Macaca fascicularis: one gene and its partner. The protein of the gene in region 2 interacts with the protein of the main gene of each other region in a biochemical or structural test. Links are inferred from orthologs where the notes say so. Each region holds a gene or a part of one and is shown on either strand. Other genes may lie near its edges.

Region 1 (3,654 bases), on a different chromosome or scaffold from region 2:
ATTTGGGTTTAGACACAGTGGTGGTTAATCTTCAAAATGTAAGTTGGTTTTGGTTTTTTAAACAGATTGATTTGCATTTTATTTTTAGTGTTGAAGACATTTTAGTTCAATTATTCCACTTGTAGAGGCTGCATCAGGTAGCAGTTAAGTGGGCAGGGTCCAGAGCCGAGTGATCAGATTCCAGCTATTGACTTACTGGTTATGTGCCTTTTGTCATATTGTTACTATCAATTGCTCTGTATCTCCATTTCTTCATCCTCTAAGTGGGCTTCTATTAAGTAAGGTAATGGTGAGGATCCAAGAGTTAAAAATAGAATGTGCTTCTAACAATGCCTGGCACCTGAGAAGAATAAAATCAATGGCGTTATGATTTCTAAAAAGGAAAAACATCGAACCGTATGCAACCAGATGAATCAAAATCAATTTGGTTGTATTTTCTTGAAGTTAAAGGAGAAAAACATAATTTTACATTTTATTTGTGCTCCCTCATCCAAAATGAGGCATAATCCCAAAGGGGTCTGTTTGTGTAAGCATGAGAGTGCGTGTGAGTGGGTGGGTAGGTGGCTTCTCACTGCCTCACCTGATCTAGTTAATTCAACTTCAGAAGACATAGTAGCTCAAATAGAAGATTGCTTAGGAATAAGTGATGTCAGAACATAAAGGTTTTACAGAAAAATCGTCAATCACTAATATTCTCAGTATTTTTTCTTGACAAGAGAATAATAAAAAATTCTCTTTTTCACAGTTTTTACTCTTTTTGCTTTTGTTCTCTTCTTTTCCATGCTACGTATTTTCAGGGAAGAGCATAAATAAAATACAGCAAAACTAAGAAAGAAGTCTTTAGTACTTAGCCCAGTCGCACACTAGTATTTTTTTCCGCTAGTGCATATCTTAGAATTATGTGATTTGGGAAGTTATATGCTACAGAATAAGGAATATATGTAACACAATCCAATAATCACATAGAAATTTATTTTTTAAATCCTACTCTTTCAAAAGCTTTCATATTCTAATGTGGCTAGTCATACTGATGTTGTGATGCTCTGCTGTTCATGCATTCTTTTCCAAAAGGATTTTTCCAGTCTTATACCATCTATGAAGCAAGTCTATGTACAATGGAGTCATGTCTCAGATGATCAGTTTTAAATGATGTGCATAGAAATAGATATTGAAATTCTTTGTAATTTCTTCAGGACTAATAAAGAGTTTAAGGATAGCTCTCAAAAAATTTTTTTTTGTCTTCACCTATTTGCAAGACCACAATTTTTCTATCGATTACAAGGTGCTAGGTTTCATTACTCAGTAACGTCCGACTGTTTTGACAGCCGGGTTGCATTAGCATGGCCTATTCAGCTGTTGCGGAGAGATGCCAGTTGCCATGGTGAAGATTATGATGTCCCACATCCAATCTGTCCCTGAGATGGGGATGGCTTTTGCAAAACCACATGCAAATATTTGTTTTCAAAGGTACAACTGACTCTTTGTGAAGCACTGGATTACTAGAGTGGATGTCTTTTCAATGAATCATCAAACGAGGATCTATTACCACATGATTTCCCTTTTTGTTTAAATAAACTTCCACTGCCCTCTATCTCAATGCCCGTTGACAAAGAATCAGATTTCATATTGTATAATTTGACTGTCCTTTTTAGTTACACAAGTTAATGAGTTTATCTGTTTAACTTGTCTAATTTCTCTATTCGATTGCCTCAGAGCTGACCTCATATGCATGGGTTTGTTGTGTTTCCCCTAGCTCACAAGTAGAGTTTTCCATTTTCCTGTGGATAATGTCTAAGTAGCACAGATACTTCCGTGGAAATAACAATGACCCTTTGAACATCCAGGGGTGTTCTCTGAATTGGGGCTTTTCCTAAGAATATGTATCAAATGTTAGTATGAATGTTTTTAAAATATAGGTATTTTTTGTTTTGTTTGTTTTTAATTTCGGGAATACTTGTCAACTTAAGTAAAAGGAGAACTCCATTAAAAAACCTTTTAATAAAATTTCTGAGAGTCACCAGTTTGCAAAACTCTTATAACTGCCATCATGAGTGCTAATATTGGTTATATTAATTAGTTTATCGTTTAAACTAATAATTCAACTGACAGCTTAATTAGTTTAATAGTTTTCATTAATAATTTAAATATGCATATACTAGTTTTATAAAATGCCTGTTTCTGTGGCTTACTACTGCATTTCCTTTACCTTCTATAAATAGAATACTGCAGGTTTGATAAAGCACAGAAGAATCTGAGAGACAAAATAAAATGTGCTACTTGTATAAAATGTCCTCTTCTGAAAAAAGAAAGAGAAACAGAAAAGTAAAAGGAAACTTGGTGACACACTGTGAGGCTTATGATAACTATGTTTGCCTTTCAGATCCCCAGCTCAAGGGTATAGTGACCAGGTTATATTGCAGGCAAGGCTACTACTTGCAAATGCACCCCGATGGAGCTCTCGATGGAACCAAGGATGACAGCACTAATTCTAGTAAGTGACAACCTCAGGCCACCAGTTACACAGTTGGTAGAAGATACACTGCTACTTAAGTGACTTTTTAAGATTCATTTGCAAATTTTTGGTCATGTTGGTTCATCTTTATAAATGTTACACGCTAGAATGCCATTTACAATTTTATTTACACTATGTGGATGAAAATATTAATGGAGCAACCAAAGAAAACTGTGGTTTAAAGATGATTATGTTAAACAGTTGTCATACCCAGAAAAGTATTATTACTTTTAATCTTATTATTATAAAAGTTAAGTAAGTACACTAGTGTATTTAGGTAAAAATTAATTACATGTTTTCATTGGATGTATTATTTTATCAGGCTCTGAGGTTCTTAATGATGCCTGTGGAAACTCAAAATCTACAAGGAATAGTTTTGTTTTGTTTTGTTTTGTTTCGTTTTACATAGTAGAAATATAATTTAAAATTATTTGCATTTAACAAAAAAAAGTATAGAAAAAACATGAAGGTTGTGTACTTTGAAATTCATTGTGCAAAGTGTTTAACTACTTTATAGAATTGCATCTGTGATAATTTTTAATTAAAAAGCTACACATCTTCCATTGTATTAATGTCTGTGTTCTTTTTCCTATTTCTTTATGTATAACGTTTCTCCGTCTGGTGCCTCTCCTTGCTCAACTGTCTGTGTTTTGCTCTCCCATTTTCTGTTTATATTGGCATTCGATTCATTTTTAATTTAGCATATTAGTTCCAAAATAAGCATACTTTTTACTGTTTGGGGGAGTTAGTGAAAAGCAAAACTGTTTTTATTAGAAATATTTAATCATAAGAAACATTACTGGTGGATCAAAAGTAGATATGAATTTTTTAATTAATGTATCTCTTATTCTTCACATATAAACATCATTCCATGAAAAGAAGTGAGGATTTGAATAATACACATAATCAAATCAGAAGGCACTTCCTTTTTTATTTTTATTTTATTTTATATATTTTTATCAGCTCAATTTAAAATTCAGCACTTCCTTTTTTAAATTCTAGTGATCAAATTGCCAGTAACACTGATTCTGACAGTAGTTAGTTATACAGAATAGGTTATTTTTACGTGTGGTTTTGCCATGTAAAATATCACTATTTTTCCAGCCATTGTGTTCACTTTTTATATGTTGTGCATTGCTTCA
Region 2 (3,654 bases):
TCCTCTGTAAGGGCACTATTTGCATTTTGAACAGGACTGTGTTTCCTTGTGCAGTACTCCTTCCTATTGTGGGCACTCAGTATTCTCAATGGTTGAATGGTTTCACTTATCCTCAACTCACATTAAATGGCAGTAGTTATCTCCCAACCATTGTGAGAAAAAAATCCTCTCTCATTTTTCTAAATATTCCCTATATACCCCTTTCATAAAAAAAAAAGTTTGATTTTGGGCTAAGACAAGTATAAAGAAAAGAATACAAGACTGCAGCTTATTTATCTACTGGTCCTCAAATAGCATTAACAGACACATTGTGTCTCTGAAATCAGGTCCAAGTTGCAAGAAATCCCATCTTTTTTTTTTTTTTTTGAGATGGAGTGTCACACTATCACCTGGGCTGGAGTGAAATGGTGCAATCTCGGCTCACTACAACCTCTGCCTCCCGGGTTCAAGCGATTCTCCTGCCTCAGCCTCCCGAGTAGCTGGGATTACAGGTGCCCACCACCATGCCCAGCTAATTTTTTGTATTTTTAGTAGAGATGGGGTTTCACTATGTTGGCCAGGCTGGTCTTGAACTCCTGACCTCATGATCCACCTGCCTCGGCCTCCCAAAGTGCTGGGATTACAGGTGTGAGCTACCGCACCCAGCCCCATCTTTTTTTTTTTTTTTTTTTTTTTAGACGGAGTCTTGCTCTGTCACCCAGGCTGGAGTGCAGTGGCATGATCTCGGCTCACTGCAACCTCCACCTCCCAGGTTCAAGCAATTCTCCCATCTCAGCCTCCCGAGTAACTGGGATTACAGGCATGCGCCACCATACCTGGCTAATTTTTGTGTTTTTAGTAGAGGTGCGGTTTCACCATGTTTGCCAGGTTGGTCTCGAACTCCTGGCCTCAAGTGATCCACCCGCCTTGGCCTCCCAAAGTGCTGGGATTATAGGCATGAGCCACTGCATCTGGCCAGGAAATCCCCATCTTGAGTGACGCCCTTCCTTATTCTTTTGCAATAGGATGAGTTTTAAAAGGATATGACAATATGACATAAAGGATAGTAGGGAAGAAAAAAAAGGCAGAAGGAAACTAGGTTTTAGATTATGTACATGCAACCCACTATTACAGAGTTTTCATCTTTATTCTGTTAACTGCAAAATGGGCCGGGTGCGGTGGCTTGCACCTGTAATCCCAGCATTTTGGGAGGCCAAGACAGGCAGATCACCTGAGGTCAAGAGTTCGAGACCAGCCTGGCCAACCAACATGGTGAAACCCTGTATCTATTAAAAATACAAAAATTAGCGGCCGGGCGCGGTGGCTCACGCCTGTAATCCCAGCACTTTGGGAGGCCGAGGGGGGCGGATCACAAGGTCAGGAGATCGAGACCACGGTGAAACCCCGTCTCTACTAAAAATACAAAAAATTAGCCGGGCGCGGTGGCGGGCGCCTGTAGTCCCAGCTACTCAGGAGGCTGAGGCAGGAGAATGGTGTAAACCCAGGAGGCGGAGCTTGCAGTGAGCCGAGATCGCGCCACTGCACTCCAGCCTGGGCGACAGAGCGAGACTCCGTCTCAAAAAACAAAAACAAAAACAAAACAAAACAAAACAAACAAACAAAAAAATTAGCTGGGCGTGGTGGCTCATGCCTGTAATCCCAGCTACTCGAGAGGCTGAGTCAGGAGAATTGTTTGAAGCCACGAGGCGGAGGTTGCAGTGAGCTGAGATTGCGCCACTGCACTCCAGCCTGGGCGACACAGCAAAACTCTGTATCAAAAAAAAAAAAAAAGAAACAGCATGAATCACAAATATTTCATGAGAAACATTCAACCTGGGGGAACTCTAGGCTGTCCAACAGAAAGGTAAGAATTAACTCAGAGATTTGAAATAGAAACTTCCCTTAAAAGAGGTTTCTTCATGCCTGAGGGGACAAGTTTTTCATTTTCAAAGTAACTGGTATCACCAAATGACAAACAGAAAACAATGGACTGTCATAAAATTTCTAAGCTGTAAGACCCTTAGCAATCACTTACACTAACTTCATTACAACCAGCAAAGTTAAATGACTTGTCCAGAGTCACCAGTGTAGCCCAACAGAACGTTACTGACCCTATTTTTATCTGTACAACCTGCTTGAACAAGTCCAAATGTGTTACAAATCTCAAAAATGTTGATATATTTATACTCCAAGGTCCTTATGGAAATTCCATCTATATAGTGCCTTGCACAAAGAGGTGTTTAATATTTCTTAAACAGAAGCCCTAACGGTGGCTCACGCCTGTAATCCCAGCACTTTGGGAGGCCACAGTGGGAGGATCACTTGAGGCCAGAAGTTGCAAGACCAGCCTGGGAAACAGAGTGAAACCCCAACTTTCCAAAAAGTAGAAATATTAGCCAGGTGTGGTGGTACATGCCTGTAGTACCTACCTCAAAAACAAAAGAAAAGAAAACAAGCAAAAAAAAAAAAACAAACCCTGAGCCCAAATTTCCAAAAGGAGATATGCTGCAGAGGATAAACAGTAGGAAGTAGATAGAGATAGCAGATTCTCAGGTCAGACAAGAGGCCGTCAAGGTTGTAAGAATCTACAGCTATACATGACTGAGCATTCAAGAAACAGGGATGAGAACTGAGAGAATTCACTTAACATCAAAAACCAGCTGACTGTGGGAAACACAACAGTTAGATCTTGTATAATGTCTTTACTAAATGTCTCTCACACAGAATGTCTCCCACACAGAATGTCCCTAACCCTGTATATGCTCATGCAAACTCTATGGCCAAAGGAAAAGAGGTATTACTCACCAACTGATACAAGTTTTCCCAATAGTCCTGGGTCATAAGGCGAAATAATGCCAAGAAGGCCCAGCTAAAAGTGTCAAAGCTTGTGTAACCATAGTTGGGGTTCCTTCCTGCTTTCATACACTGGTATCCCTCTGGGCATTGCCTAAAGAAAGAAAGGGAAGTTCAGGACTTTTAACATAATTCCACCAGCCGTGACCTTGGAGATAACAAATAACATAATTCTATTTAATCCACGACCTTGGAGATAATAAATAACCATTGATAGAGCCAGGACAACAAATTGGAAGAAAAAGAAGGAAATAAGCAGCTAGCCAACTTCTGGGGACAGCCTAGGATCAGAATCACCTGGCATGTTCTTTAAAAATGCAGATTCCTGTGTCCTTACCCAAATCTAGGAATTAAAAGTTCTGGATATGGGATCTATGAATCTGCATTTTTAAGAGGTATGCCAGGTGATTCTTATGCGTGCCAAAGCGTGAGAAGTACTGTTCTAGATTCATATTAATGTGCAATTCAATCAAATTTAACTTCACTACTATCCCAAATGACAAACGGCTAGAAGTTCCTTTTTTTTTTTTTAGACAGAGTCTAGCTCTGTCGTCCAGGCTAGAGTGTCATGGCATGACCTCGGGTCACCGCAACCTCTGCCTCCTGGGTTCAAGCAATTCTCCTGCCTCAGCCTCCCAAGTAGCTGGGATTACAGGCGCCTGCCACCACGTCTGGCTAATTTTTGTATTTTTAGTAGAGAAAGGGTTTCACTGTGTTGGCCTGGCAGGTCTCAAACTCCTGACCTCGTGATCTGCCTGCACTGGCCTCCCAAAGTGCTGGGATTACAAGCATGAGCCACCGCGCCCGGCCAGAAGTTCCTCT

What was found. The genes of interacting proteins can lie anywhere in the genome.
Region 1: the proteins of SCN8A (region 2) and FGF14 form a complex in vitro, tested with the Homo sapiens proteins (2 studies listed by BioGRID). The link is inferred for Macaca fascicularis from reciprocal best matches to the Homo sapiens genes SCN8A and FGF14.

The regions. Positions count from the first base shown.
Region 1 is NC_088391.1:92,713,622-92,717,275, reverse strand, and holds part of FGF14 (fibroblast growth factor 14), read left to right. Parts: intron 1-2,380; coding exon 2,381-2,491; intron 2,492-3,654. UniProt on the Homo sapiens protein: Probably involved in nervous system development and function.
Region 2 is NC_088385.1:58,542,502-58,546,155, reverse strand, and holds part of SCN8A (sodium channel protein type 8 subunit alpha), read right to left. Parts: intron 2,927-3,654; coding exon 2,785-2,926; intron 1-2,784. UniProt on the Homo sapiens protein: Pore-forming subunit of a voltage-gated sodium channel complex assuming opened or closed conformations in response to the voltage difference across membranes and through which sodium ions selectively pass along their electrochemical gradient.